3 linked regions of the Neodiprion lecontei genome follow. The protein of the gene in region 1 purifies or fractionates together with the protein of each later gene. This does not show direct contact. Links are inferred from orthologs where the notes say so. Each region holds a gene or a part of one and is shown on either strand. Other genes may lie near its edges. The genes, in order: chromodomain-helicase-DNA-binding protein Mi-2 homolog, metastasis-associated protein MTA3 and uncharacterized protein LOC107224519.

The links.
Region 2: the proteins of chromodomain-helicase-DNA-binding protein Mi-2 homolog (region 1) and metastasis-associated protein MTA3 fractionate together in Drosophila melanogaster (co-fractionation; 3 studies listed by BioGRID, with this or other methods). This does not show direct contact. The link is inferred for Neodiprion lecontei from reciprocal best matches to the Drosophila melanogaster genes Mi-2 and MTA1-like.
Region 3: the proteins of chromodomain-helicase-DNA-binding protein Mi-2 homolog (region 1) and uncharacterized protein LOC107224519 purify together in Drosophila melanogaster (affinity purification with western blotting; 6 studies listed by BioGRID, with this or other methods). This does not show direct contact. The link is inferred for Neodiprion lecontei from reciprocal best matches to the Drosophila melanogaster genes Mi-2 and MEP-1.

Annotation. Positions count from the first base shown.
Region 1 is NC_060261.1:40,134,491-40,139,584, reverse strand, and holds the start of chromodomain-helicase-DNA-binding protein Mi-2 homolog, read right to left. Parts: upstream 3,275-5,094; 5' UTR 3,131-3,274; coding exon 3,094-3,130; intron 701-3,093; coding exon 603-700; intron 419-602; coding exon 296-418; intron 197-295; coding exon 1-196. UniProt on the Drosophila melanogaster protein: ATP-dependent chromatin-remodeling factor which acts in nucleosome-remodeling by catalyzing ATP-dependent nucleosome mobilization. Involved in regulating transcription. Plays a vital role in development.
Region 2 is NC_060266.1:390,952-396,076, forward strand, and holds the start of metastasis-associated protein MTA3, read right to left. Parts: upstream 3,189-5,125; 5' UTR 2,297-3,188; coding exon 2,191-2,296; intron 958-2,190; coding exon 890-957; intron 670-889; coding exon 576-669; intron 1-575. Other genes in the region: uncharacterized protein LOC107216873, read left to right, coding at 3,846-3,915, 4,058-4,456, 4,550-4,745, 4,853-5,068.
Region 3 is NC_060261.1:3,448,173-3,453,422, forward strand, and holds the start of uncharacterized protein LOC107224519, read right to left. Parts: upstream 3,142-5,250; 5' UTR 3,012-3,141; exon of another isoform or gene 2,834-3,011; intron 2,292-2,833; exon of another isoform or gene 1,256-2,291; intron 1,240-1,255; exon of another isoform or gene 1,055-1,239; intron 927-1,054; exon of another isoform or gene 737-926; intron 459-736; 5' UTR 435-458; coding exon 362-434; intron 292-361; coding exon 1-291. Other genes in the region: uncharacterized protein KIAA1143 homolog, read right to left, coding at 4,271-4,443, 4,614-4,746, 4,955-5,065.

The sequences.
Region 1 (5,094 bases):
GTACATCAGTGAGTCCAAATGTACTACAGACTTCTTCTATCGTTGGCATTCCAGTGTTGGGCTCTTGAGGTTGTACTGCCGATGTATTGTGTCCTGACGATTTTCGCGAAGATGATTTTCGACTCTTACGATTCCCAGCATAGTCACTGTCGTCTCCTGCAGCTTCTGTAGGTTCAGCTCCAGCAAAATCACTTTCCTGAAGCGGCATATAAAAATTTGATAAGTGAGCTCTCTTGACGCTTCATGACCAGAACTGTTGATTTGGCATCATTTTTCATCATACTGAAATACTTACGTCTCCGGAGTCAGATTTTTTCTTCTTCTTCTTTTTTTTCCCTTTCTTATCTTCACTACGAGCTTTTCGCTTCTTTCCTTTTTTCTTTTTTCGTTCTTCTGGTTCGTAATCATCATCTTCCTCCTAAGCAAATGTAAGATGTGTAAAAGATAGTTACTTCAATCAGATCACAAAATTTTGACTATCAATTTGTAACAACATACTAGACATTTGGTCGAATATTTATCAATTTTGGAAATAAAACCAAATAGTCAATGCTTGTTATATTATAATATTAATTGTAAAATTTAATTAGAATATATATTACCAGTCTCTGAGACTCTTCAGCATCAGATGAACCCTCGGCAACTGGTTGGCCAGTATTTGGTATAGCAACTCCAGCTTCGTCTGCTTCTTCCTCTCCTATAAGAAGAAAAAAAAGTCAATTGTCTAAATATACGGATAATTTATATATGTGCTATATTGCTGAATAATCTGAGATATTCATCAAAGCTTCAGTTGATATAGATCAATTAAACGAATTATATATATTTGTGATGAAATGAAACATGACACAGGTTCCTGTACAACAAGCTATCTATAGGCAGACTCATACATATAATCTCATCAAGGTTGCCACCTTAGTATGATATTGGGCCAGAGATAGATGCGGTGAGGGTGAAGAGAAGGGAGCATTATAGGCGGGGGGGAGGGGGGGCGAAAATCTGGAATTCATCGTTTCAACAGCCAATCTAATTAACTTGGGAGATTTTAATTTTTTCATGCTATAGCATAGAATTTATTGTTAAATATTGCGAATGACACTTGACATTTTAATGCCTCAAGAAATCAATAATAAGAACCGTTTCATTGGTAATAAGAGCTGGACAAAATTAGCCTTTATACAGAGTAATCATACATATTGTATTTCGTTTCGAATAAAGTATTGAATTTGAAAAAAAATTAACATTAATGGGAATACTGATCATTGCGAATACAAGTAGAAATTACGATGAATCTTTGCATTATTTAGGTACATGTATGCATGATCGACGAATGGAATCGCGCGTACGTATTATATGCATACGGATATACATACATCTATATCGACTGCGTTGATCTTGTTTACATTGCCGGCAATTGATGCTTTCTAGGTAATATTTGCCAGTGAGAAATGATATATTGTAAAAATTTGACGTTGCTAGCAGTGTTTTGGGAAGTTTTATCATTGCAAGTGAAAACAACTGGCGACGGAAAAAATATATTGGCATTATCTACAGTTGCGAATGCTTTGTTACACACACTTGCGACCGCCATTTTGTATTAAGGGCAAATACTCCGGTAGATCTCTTAACCCCTACTTAAAATACCTAACATTCGTTTGGACAGCATTTCAGTTTATATACGAGTTGATGGCCATATTACTGGGCTTGATCTAATATTGAAGTAAAATGAACAAGAGACGCATGTAAATCAGATTCAATAGGTAGAATTTACTTCGCAAATCGAATACGTTGTAAAATGACGTGCACATTTGTTTCACGAGGAAATCTTACCCGATGCGAAATACTTGAAGAATTTTGTATACCTGTGCGACCTTTTCTCAATTATTTCTGTACAACCGACTAAATCCTCTTTATTACAATTACTCAGGTAGTTCAGGCATGAACGTATAAAAACTGCAGCCGACTTGTCGTGGGCCGAGTGATTACACGACGCGAATGTTCGTATAATACTGAATTTTAGGAACGTTTACGTACGAATTAAAAATAATATTACTGGGATTGATCTAATATTGATGTAAGATTAACACGAAACGCACATAAATCAAATTCAATTGATGCAATGTACTTGGCAAATCGAACACATTGTAAAATGACGTGCAGATTTGTTTCACGAAGCAAACTTACCCGATAGGAAATATATGGAAAATTTTGTATATCTGAGCGAGTTTTCGCAATTATGCCTCTACAACTAACTATTTCCTAATTCTTAATAACTTATTACAGTTACTCGGGTAGTTGAGGTATGTACGAAAGCTACAGCCAACCAACCCGTGGTCGGCTGTGTGGTTATACGACGCCGATATCCGTATAATACTGGATTCTAGAAACTCGCGTGTTTACAAAATTACATTCGAATTCTACTGTAACTCAATACCTCGGTATGGCAAATCCGATTGTCATTAAGTGCGATTAAAATAAGACCCACAAGTGTTAGCCTGTTGACACGCAATGAAAAACATTTGGAAATATATTTACAATAACGTTAACCTGTACAAATTTACGAAGATCGGTAGATGATTCAACCGTGTGATCAATGTGAAAGCAATATTATTCACGCAATGCATAAATATAAGTACCATATTCATATTTCGATTTACATATATTTTGCAGTGCGAAATGTAAACTTTGTATCGAAACAGAACATCGATGATATCTGCAAAGGTTGGTAATCAGAGAAATATTTATCTGGCATATTGGGAGACAACTAAGAATTAATAGGTACGTTGATATTAACGTTGAAAATGCAAAAATAATCGAGCTATTATTGAAGAATTTGGACAATTGAAAATTTGGAAGGTTAGCTCGATACTTTTCGAATATAATTATTTTGGTAATAATGTAGGTGAATTTTGATACGAAAAATTGTACCCAGTCGTTATTTGTCCGGTAAAAACATGTGCGAGCTGATTTAGCTCTGAATAAAGTTAAAAATCACGTAAGACAAGTTGACATGGCAGCCATCATATGAAAAGCGCGCGTCCTGCGTGCCTGTGTATAACATTCCGGCAAACTTAACCATTATTCGACACTTACCGGCGAAGGTTTCGTCCACTTCCTCCTCTGAGGCCATTTTCGTATGTTAATTAACTATTTGAACACTGATCACTCACTGAGAGCGCGAATAATATGCAAAAATTCGCGAAAATGCGACATAAACGCGTAGATCCGTGCTCGGCGTGCGATCACTTCTCTTTCGGTGCTCGCCGCTTCGCCTCCAGTCTTGGCAACTTTACGGTTCATCCCCTCCACTTTTACTATTTTTACCCCCACCACTTTTAATTTTTCGGAAAGGAACCCCCCCCCGCCGCCAGCCAACTTTTGACTTGCATAGTAACAATGCGTCGAATTGTTCACCATTGTTACATCTACCAAACTCTTATATTAATTGTTGTACTAGATGTCAAACTTCCAAATTTCAATTAATAAAACCCTGGAATACCATATTGTATATCTCGCCAATAAATTGTGTCCATTCAAATCCAAGCCAATGGCTTCAATGAGTGTAGAATAAAAAATTTACGCAAAAGATTTCATTAACTCTTCTCAGAGAAGTCTTGCGATTGAATCGTTATCAATCATTAAACTTAAAAGAAAAAATACATGCATAATACGAATTTGATCTCCTTGAACTACTTTCAGTTTATTTGTACTACATACAATATCATTTCTACTATAAATCTTATGAAGCATATGCGGGATTTGATGTAATTTGTAAGTATACAACATTTGCTGATTGATAATGTCGCTGACTCTTGTTGGTATTGAGGATAGTTTTTGTATTCTTCGTGAACCTAGGTCGTTGGATTCTGACAACTCGACAAATCGGGAACGTTCAGGATGGATATTCGGAATCCAACATATGTACACAGAGTTGACAATAGTATGGTTGATAGGAGTCTGGTATGCAATAATCAACTGTTTATTAATACGATTCTAACATACATTTAACACTCGTCCAATGAAATTTAATTACCTAGTTGAATTCAACAAAGTATTGGACAATGATATTGATTCTTCGATAATAGATTGCTATCATAATTTTTCAGTATATAAGTATAGTTCTTTCTTTACAATAGATCTAGGATTTGAATGATTATCAAAAAAAAAATATTAACATACATATCAATCACAATCTTGCGCTAATTTTAATAATTTTCTTTAGTTATTCAATTCTACACATACGAAGTGACTCGGTCCAAATAAGGATACGAAATTATACTTAAAGACAGCATGAACTCACTTCTTTTGCAAAATGGAAGCTTGCTGTGGGGATGTATTAGATTAAGCTAGGTACTCTCTATCGCGTTTACGTACTTCTTAGGTTTTGAAATAGAAAAAGGGTCTATACATTGTTCATGCAAAGCTATATCCTCATTTCTTGAAGTTCTTTGCAGTTGTATCTATTCTTATATTATAATAATGAACTAGAGAAAACTTTCAAAGTATGCCAGCTATTGAAGTTCCCCTAATTTAAAATCGTGAGAAAGATCAATGCAATGTTTAAGATGCGTAAGATCTGAGAAAATCAGCTTGCACACAATTTTATGGTACCCGCAGAATTGGGATGTAATCACAAGGGTAATCACAATTTTATACACTCGATTAGTTCAAGAATGTGATTGATAAAATCGGTATTGATTAGTTGACCTTCAAGGTTCTGAGACTAGATATAACATTCCACTTACGGTATTCAAACTTCCAATGAATTTATGTATATACAGACTTCAATATGACGCTTACCTACAATTGTAATTTTTTTATATGTGCGTAATTGAACACTCCCAAGTGATTAATATCGTATTGCGGTAACTATTGAAAATCTAGCAACATACGTTAGATATATATGTTAGATAAAAGTTGACGTTGTCAGGTATGAATTATTGTATAACAACTTTCGTATACGTTTGTTTGTGTATAAAATTCTAAATAAAGCAAAATTCATTGATTTAATCATTGTTCTAAAAATGGTATAAAGATATGAGAGTATAATTGTCATACTGAATTAGGTATATATAAAAAACTCATCCTTCCAGC
Region 2 (5,125 bases), on another chromosome or scaffold:
AAATAACATGATATTTTGGCAATGAAAAAAATTATAACTCTGCAGGAGCTGGAAGTGGATAATTTTACTCCTTCTGTGTATCACAATCAAACAGATATATGGTTGTAAACTATTGCGGACAGATAAACGCTCCGCCAAACCAAACCCAAATCCTATACCATTACATCAACGATTCATACACTCTGGGCTGGAAAAGACAGTATGAAAGTGGACAGTGGTGAGGACAGGGTATAGAAAAAAGAATTCCGAATAAGGTAAATACTACTCCCGATAGCTTTTCCATTGCCTCTTCAAATAGATCGATACAGTTAGCCCCATTTCTTCTACTACAACTCATCATGCATACTTTGCCAAAATTTTCAGCATCTCATTACTACCGCTAATTGATACCGGAAGAGTAGGACCAGCCTATTTTTTAAATATGTACAATGGCATCATATCAAAATACATAGATTATACTCATTTCTAGATACTTTTCAAATTAATGTATGGAATTGGTATAGAAACAAATGATGGATGATGCCTTGATGAAAAGGTAATTTTTATACAAATCGACTAAAGCAGTGCAAACTTACATTGATGTTTGTCCGCAAGCATAATTAAAGTTGATGGAAGGTCTCGGCGCCTGAAGAAACACATCACCTTTGCTTCAACATTTCCACTCGCCGTCTGAAACATTGATCCAATTCAATGTGAATAATTAAATTCACGCTTACTTCGATTGAGAATATTTATTGATAGAAACTGGTTTTTTGATGACCCAAGGTGGATTCTCTCCACACAGGCCTAAACATATTATTAGAATAAATTTGTCTTCTTAGTGAGTTTGGACACCAAGAAATTACTTTATGTTAACCACTTTATACTTATTACATATGTCTACAAATACCTTGTTCAATTCTTCTATCCTACGAATCTGATAGGGTGAGGTTGACGACGTCTCAAAATACACATAGTCTGAAAAATATCGAAAACAATATCATTATCTCAGTGCCTATCAATTTCACAAAACTAAAGCAAAACCACCGGTCAGTTTTGGTTGGTCGTTGATGTCAATATCATTTCGGCTGAATACATGTAATTTTTTGTTACATCGTGTACACGTTACTATTACTTCTATTAGTACTTTTTTTTTCCTAAGGAATGTACAATTTTCCCATAAATTGACCAACTAAGCATGGACAGGTGTCTGCGCAATAGTAAGACAATTTAAATTCCCTACGCCTGTTCGCACGATAAAGTAACTGCGCTTCAAACCCTGAACCATGATAATACAGGCATTTCTATGCATCATAATTCCAAGCCTCTTTTCATTATCACGTGAAAATAAATGTATCAAACAGTCAAAAATTTATAAAGATAGGTAAAGATATTCGAACCATAGTTTCTTTGCTCTTCAGACGAATTGAAATCTTGGCAGAAATTCTTTAAATGACATACTTTTCCTTCCAAACGCATACCAGAAATATGTAGTGACAGTGACCACTCAGGCTGAGGGAAGGAAGGCTATCGTACAGAGGTAGCGCAAGACACAGAGTCCCCACAACCACCAAATTTTCTCTGTATAAAATTAACATTAATTTCATCGAAGATTGTGACGCTAGAATCTTGATCTAATCATTGTTCAACAGTTTCGATTAGATTTTCATTACATTTTAATTGTATGCTATAATATAAATTTCATGCATACAGAGGCGTATACAGTAACAGTCCAGGGCGACACGTTGTATACAAGAAATTTTTTCATAACAGGAGCGGAGAGGATGGATAATGAATGTGCTCAACACGGATAACAGGAGTAAAAAAGAAGCAGAGATGACGGAAACATGAGTATTCGACGTGTCCGACGCGTCTTAAAATGCGGATGGCGGACGCTGCGCAAGAAACAAACGACCGGCGGCAAGGGGTCGCACGGATATTCATCAGAGAAGCGGCGAGTGTTGGACACTGTGCGTAGATACGTACGTATGCCGATGAGGAGGGGGATGGATGGAAGAAAGAAGGAAGGAAGGAAGGAAGGAAGGACGGAAGGAAGGAATGGGGGGAAGGACGGGGGAGCGGAGAGGGACGCGTACAGGCGCCATCGGTTCTGCCATTTGCAAACATTCATTTTTCGTAGGTGATTAAAGCTAGGGGGAGGATTGAAATGGTCGAAAGAGCGATTTGATGGAATAAAAGAATGCGTCATACCTCCAACCCGGTACATGTTTGCAGTCATGTTGCACGAGTCTTGAGAATCGATTTGCAACGCCCTTTGAAAATTTGTTTTAAAATCTTCGTAGTATTCGGCCGGCATCGGCGCTCTCCCTTGCAAACGCGCACAATCGCGCCACAACTAGGGGACTTTAGCCGACACTTGAGACGCACAGTCGTCGTTGCCGTTTTCGTCGTCGTCGTCGTTGTTGCCTGGTCGTTGTCGTCGCCCTGCTAGTCCTAGTCCTAGCTCCGTTCGTCACTTCATCGTAACTTTTTAACCCTCATATGTCCATCGGTTACGTCCGATTATTATCTATTTATCACTCATACGGCACAGAGAATTATATCGACCTGTGATCACCTGGTTCGACGCGCGCACAAATTTCACGTGCCCGTTAGAACCGCGAGCATCTTTGGCGGCGGCCCATTCCGTTCAACAGACCAACGCCATTTTCATTTTGGCGAGAAAGAGAGCCAAGCACACACTGTACAAACCCGCAACTCTGTGTCTCTCTCTTTTCCACTAGCCCAGCGCGGTAGCTCCTTCCCTTTTTAATACCGTTGAGTCTCTCTCTCCAAAACACACGCGCACACGTTACAGGTATTACATATGACACGTATGTCGATACACATGTATACATGCGTCCGTAAACGAACGTGAAATATCACCCCTCTCGTTTACTCGTCCGCCGAGTCGTCAGCAAGCTAGATTCGTGCTGGGCTCGGCTTGGTCAAGATTCCAGCTCGACAAACGATCCCGCAATCATATCGTTGACGAGTAATGTACTGCTTTCACTTCGACGTTACACGAGTGTCAGAATTCCGCAAGCTTTTGTCAACAAATCGCGCACGGAACGCCGCCCGGTGTGACACGGTACATCACAATACAGCACAACTTCACACCCTGGGTTATCATAGGCGAATGAAGTCATAGGTGCGGAAACTCAGTAGTTATTTAAACCGCTTAACATTGCGGGACACGGGACGCGGACCACGGAACACCACGGCACTGGTCAAATATCATTCTTTTCGTGTAAGTGGCGCTGCGATCGTCCATTTCCGGGTTTCAGGCATGAATGCATTACTTGCTCACCGGCAACCAAGACGTGTTGCAGATACCATGGAGACTAGAGACAGGAGCACGAACTGCTGTACTAAATGGAAAGTAAAATACGTCATTAAAAATTGGGCGCCGGGTGGCGCTGGAGGGCTCAAAAGGCTTCAGTCGAGTGCTCGTCTCTGGCATCGTCCCGGCCGCCGGCGTCGTCTAAATTCCATCTAAATTCTCGCCGCCGTATTGCTTGTATATACTTTATACCTAAGTCTCCATGGTTCCCCCCGTGTTTCCCCCCTCGTGGCTTTGTAAATTGTGCCTGGTCGGGGTCCGCTGCTCCCATTTCACACTCTGCTCGAACTGGAGCCGTTCGAGCCCACTAGCGCTGCCTCGTGACTATACAATTATATTCACTCAACTGAACCGCAGTTCGTGCTCCTGTCTCTAGTCTCCATGGTAGATACGAACGACCAATTACCAATTACCGACGGAGCCAGACCACGTGGATCCCTGAACAACAGATAAGATATTACTCGGGGTTAACTGTAAACAAATATTCTTCTTGTACAATTATCACGGACAATTAGCGCAAAAAATGAAACATCCGATAGAGGCGGTAATCGATAAAGTTTCTCTCAAACCGAATAAAATTCAACCGATTATTGGTAAGAAATAATCCCACCCGACAATACGACACATAGAAAAAGCAATGCTAACCTTACTCGGCACGTACCCATTGTCATACGTCGATTAGGCGATTTGGATGATACTTTTTATTCATATTTAGTCTACAAATTTGCCTTTCAGTTGATTTTCAAAACGGAGAACTAAAGGATGATGAGGCTGTCAATATGGAATGTGGATTGTACTGTGACAACAAAGTCAACAGACAACTACTCGCTCTTTCGAACGGGCAGGTGGTTTATAAAGGTTACCGACCTGATCCTGACGAAGCTCCGACCTATACCATGCTTGCCATTCACAATAGGAAAACTGGCAAAGTCCGTTTAGTCCAAGCTGAGAGATGGCAGGTAGCTCCCGTACTGGACAAAGAACCAAAGGGCGGCAAGGACGTAGATGACGACAAAATTGCTCTACTGAATAAACAGTTTGGTTCCAAAAGGGTTAAACGAAGAACGGAGCAGATAGAGAGAATGAAAATTAATGTCAACTCTGTTACGAAACAACTGGAGGAAACAGTTTCTAGTAAGATTGGCAAATTGATGCTCGAAACGATCTGTTTCACTTCGATAGTATCATTTTTTAATCAAATATTCAATCATTTTTCAACCTTTGCAGACATTAGTATCGAAAGGACAGATCTTTCACTACCGTCGTTGCACGACGAATCGGTAGCGAACACAAATTTACCTGAGTGCAACAGGAATGCTTCCGATGTTCAAGATGTATATAATATAAATGACATCGTTCCTCTGGCTAAACTGGAAACCTTGTATGATGCTGCCAAATCCGTCTTAAATCAAGAACAAGAAGGGTATTGCAATAATATCGCTGAAATATCAATTCAATGGAAAATCAAATTCAACATAATTTATGATAATACTTTCGCAATATGTACATGAGATGAATCGTTCCTTTCAGAAAATCTAAATTCTTTATGGAAACTTTAAAAGTGTTGAGGACGGACGATGGTTGTACAGTAAAAATTGCACTACTGCTTTACCTAGAAGCAGTTGCTGCTTGGCTCAATATGCCAATAAAAGATGCCAAGAAGAGGGGAATAATAATATGTAGCGAATCGAGTGATGTCAATGACTACGTTATACAAACTTATAGCATGCGTAGTGCTCAGGGCAGGTAAACATTCATTGCTATGTTATGAAAAATTTAAATCGAAATAATTATTTTCAGTGA
Region 3 (5,250 bases), about 37 Mb from region 1:
TGGAATCTTTTTCATTAGGCTGTTCCTTCTGGGTTTTCGTTTCCAGAAAATCTTCAGCCTGATCCTCTTCTTTTTCTTTAGCTTCGTCAATGCCAGCATCAGCTTCAGTTTCCATCGGTTCTACCTCGTCCCTTGGGTCCTCCTGCGGTGTTTCTTCCACCACATCGTCGGTCGCCTCATTGTCCATAACATTCTTGGATATGGGTTCGCACTCGTCGTTGGAGTCATTGTGCTCCTCGACAGTTTCATCAGGTTCGCAGTTACCATTTAAACCGTTTGTAATGATAGTGTCTGAAATTACATTATCAAAGGTTCAGTGTCAATTGGCCGTAAAGTACGAACGAGGTACAGTCAACCATACCTTTGACAGTCTTAGCATCAGGATCGTCCCGAGGTAGGTCCTTGACCGCAGACTCTTCTAAAGCGCCTTCCATGTGGCCACTTCTGGTTTAATCAATCTGCGAAAGAATAAAACAAGCAAAGTGAAAAAAAAAAATAGTACCAATGTTTACATGAAAAAATTTATGAAAACATAGTTTGACATGTTATGAGAACGGTTTGAATATCGTTGGTCTCTTTTATCACGTCCAGATTCTAAGCACCGTCCGCGATATTAAATTATATGACGATGTGCCTATAGAAGCAAGATAATTGAGGTAGAGAAATTTTTCCAAAATGGCGCTGAAAATTCTTATGGCACACTCCTATTATTCGAATAGTACATGGTAAAACATACATTGTACGTATGCATTATCCGCAGCTCAGCTATACGTTGTTATAACCAATAAATTATTACTGCCGAACAAGCAATGGGGTTAAACTCGACGTTTTCTCTCTCTCTTCTGCACGCATACACGAGACGTGCACATAGTACGGTGCCGACGAAAGTTCGGAGACGCGCCGCCACGCTCTCGAGTCTAGACAGCCTGCATGGTAGGTGAATTTGAGAAGTAAAAAAAAAATATATCTATATACGTATATATGCATACATAGGTATACGCATAGAATGTGTGCGTTTTAGGCTACAGCTCCATGGCGATATTGTAATTCTTACGTGAACTTGGGATGCAACAACGGAGTATATGCGGCGTTGTCAGTCGGGTACGGTGGGTGCATCTGATGCGATTTATTGAAAAAGCAAATTTGACGGAAAAAAACTTAGAGACATCCGTAAGCAGGTACTCTTGTGTGCGTGTACAGTGTGTATGTGTACGTTGTTCGAAACGACTGCCGTATATAAGCGTCAGTCAGTCACCTGCATCTGCGAGCTGGCCAGCCAACAGCCGCGTCTCCGAGCACAAGCCGAACCTTCGTCGCGTACCTCTCCTCAACCTTCGCCAACCAACACAACCAACCAACGACCTAGCAGTGGAGTATACCTTATACCTACACGCCCCGCTGACTACGACGACTCGCTCGCCTCTCTACGCAACCTACGAGGTGGAGGCAACCTACCACCTTCTACCTTCTACCTTCTACCTAGTACCTACAACCTACTACTAACTGCCTGTTACCTACAACCTACTGATCGTCCTCTGCCTAATCTCTCCCAAACCTAAACTTTGGCGTACTCCCGCCGGGTAAAAGGTAGCAAATATTATGTTACAAAAAGTAATTATTAACATGTAAGAGAAACTAAACGGAACTTGTACGGCGAAGGAGGATTTCAGACGTTCCAGTTTAGTTTTTTGAATTACAACGCTATACGCATGAACCCGGGAATGTGTGTGATATGCCTTAAAATATGTACGCCGTATTGCACGCAGTCAATGGCAACAATATCATAATATCGTTGACTTGGCCAACGAGCAATAGATTTTGCATTTTCGACACACGATGCATTATTCTACAGCTGTTTGTTTTTGTCTTCTCTTTTGATTGATAAAATAGCGGGAACAAGAATCAAGGGTTAATACGTAAGATTCGTCATCTGTGACGTGGTTCGCGGTCAGAATTCGGGAGACAAACATACCGTCCAAATATACCGACACGTATGGCAGATAATGGAAAATATAGAATAATAGGAAAGAGATGCGGTTATGCGTTTGCATGTGTGTGCGCGGAGTACGGGAAAAGCTGTAAATAGTGAATAAATATTGTTGAAAATTGAACACCAGAGGGCAGAGCTGTAGGTGAAAATTTGGTACATAATACATATAGGTGGGTATGTGGGGTTACGTTTTGCACTGCATACATATAATACATGGCTCACGACGTAGGCATGTACACGTATATATTTTTCGTATAGAATATCCTGTACGCAGGAAAAGAAAACGATGTAAAAGACGAGACATAATAATAACAGCAACAACAACAACCAAAAAAAAAAAAAAAAACAGAACTGAAAAGAGAAAATAGAAAGAAAAAGATGTGAAAGGAATAAAAATACCGTCGCGCTCAATGCTGGCTGATTCGTAGGAACGCTTTTTTTTTATGCAACGGTGGTTAGAATCTAGTACTTTTTTAGCATAGCTAGATATTGTGTTATAAGATTGCGTTTATGATAAGGGGGCGGTGTTGGTGGCAGCCGGTTGTCATCGCTCGATCGCGTTCGATGTTAATGTGAGGTAATAACGTGGTCTTGACAAGGTACTCCCGCCATTTCCATGGTTCCCTAGCTTTGGCGAGTCGCGTCATTCGGACCGAGCGCGACCGAGTCCGAATCGCGGCACGGCAAGCGACGAGGAGTTCGGTAGGTATGCACACGAGATCGGAGAAACAGCGAGGGTATTAATGAATCTCTACGACAACAACGACACCGAACAGCTGCGGCCTCAACACGAGCCGCTAGCTTATGTCTGTGACCGAAACGCGATAATACGTTTGTACGTACGCTGATATAGGAATCCCCCCCTCGTTTTCTCACGAGCGGAGTAGGACTGAGACGACGACGGAGAGGACGACGATATGTCGATTCCCTATTATCCATCCATCGTAGTTATGTTTGAAACGCCGCGCTATTTAAATTCACACGATATCCCTCTTTATAACACTTTAACCAGGGTACCTACGAGTACACTTTATTCTTTACAAGCGGCCGACCCACTGTTCCTTGTGTAAAAATTTATTTCACATATATTTTATGTTTATTTGTGTGTTCGACGTCACGGATAACACTCCTTCAACGCTACTATCCCCGTCGCCCTCGAAAACTGCCAAGATGGCGTCCGTCAGGGGTCACGTGACCAAAAATTTTGTGACGTAGACAGTTTCGGTGTTAAAGGGGCGAAACGCAACCAGTAGCATTTGCCCGGAATTGTCACGTGACAATATGCACATGCGGTGACCAATCGGGCGGGCGATCGACAAAATACCGCGATCCTCGTCGACAACAATAGGACAACAATTACTCCATTGAACAATAAAAAGTAGCCCGATTTTTCACCATCGAGACGCTTGCCCAAGGTCGCTACTCAACAGTTTCAAATTTCGAACGAAGCTTTCTGAACAGTGTGCAAGATAGACAAAACTAGCTACTCTTGAGATCAAGAGTTCGAAGTCACTGGGCGAAAAAGTTCATTTAGAGACTTATCGATAATTCGATAGGTCTGCCAGAGATTTCATCTCGATATTTTATGCTTTGTGTAATTTTACAATCATCGTATATTACCATTCTACGAACATCATATTGTACCTCAGTTGACAATAAAATGTATTGAGGTGATCGATGTGCTTACTTACGAATTTGAAAAAATTTGCTTGCTGCAACGTGATTCTTTTTATTAACAAGAAAAGATATCAAAGCGAGATGTGAATACACACAAAGTCTCCTTTATCACATACACGTCGCTGCAAATACAATTACGTAGTTCATGAAGTCGGCGTTATTAATCCAAAATCCGCAGTTCAATTATCAATATTCATTTTTCTTTCAGGGTAAAACCGCGCTGATGACTGTCGAAATTCAAAGTCTCTAAAAATAAATAAAAAATTCCATTAATAGTTAAACTTGTCATACAATAGCAATGATAATGATATCAATGAGCCAAATTACAGAACATTAATGTTACACAAACTAATTTAAGAAATTGCAATCAAATATCGTTGAATCCAGTTTTGTAGATTCATGCTTCGCATCGCAATAATATGTGTGCGTACCTAGTTCATTAGTGCGGCATAAGTAACATGATACTGCCAAATTTTTATCATGATCGAAAGTTTAGATTAGAATATCATCTGAGACATTTTCTACATATATTTGCTACTTACCACTTTGGTAACTTGATATTAAAGCTGGTCACCCTAGTCATTAATATTTCATAAAATATTGTCAATCCTCTTCATCTTCATTGAATGAAAGAATAACTTTAGTTTTCTTGGATTTTTTGCTTTTCTTGGGAAGCGAAGATTCAGTCTCTGTATTTTTTTTCGAATCTTTCGGTGCAGACTTTGTTTTTGTAAAGATTATCTTCTTGGATAGATCTGCTGGGGTTTGAGCTTCCTCTAAAAATAAATTTGCAGTAACAATAGATTATAAATTTTTTTTGAATTTTACACACAGATTGAGGTATTATAAACAAAAAATCGTATCGTACATATAAAAGTTGAGAAATCTTTTCTGCCATCCATTTTGCATTGCAGATAATTTCATAACTTTTCATCTATAAATTTACCTTTTTCTTTCGCAAGTTCGAAAGCAGCTGCTTCTTCAGCAGTTAAATCACCATTGTTTAATACAACTACAGTGGGTAACTCTTCATCACGATCTTCGTAATCCTCGTCTGTGGCTGTTGGCAGAGCTTCTTTCTAGACAATAATACATCAATTGTATCTCATCGAATCAGGGAAAAAAATCAATGGAAGAACGAAAACATGGCTCAACATAATACCTAAGTGTAATATGATTAGTTTAAACTGACACGTGCAATTTAACTTTATCGATTGCCAAGAAAGTAAGGAATCATTTCACCTACGTTACATTAATATGTATCAGTTTGATTTTTTTCTCACTCACCTTCGTCTCAATAGAAGGTCCTTCCTTGTAACCGACCTTAGCTTTTAACTCTCTTAAAAACTTTGGCTCGTCCGGTTTTATGTATGCAATGTTATGCTTTCGTTTTGACATTTCCGGAAAATTGAAGTTCCAAGTCAATCAGGTAACGTTTGTCAGATGATTTATCCAAATCAGGCGCAAGATCTTTCGTTGTGAGTGCATATAACCTCTCAGCTTTGGAACGTTGCGACAATATTGGTGAATTTTGCAACTTTATCCCAAATGTAACCTCAAAATATCCGCACGAAATCAATCAT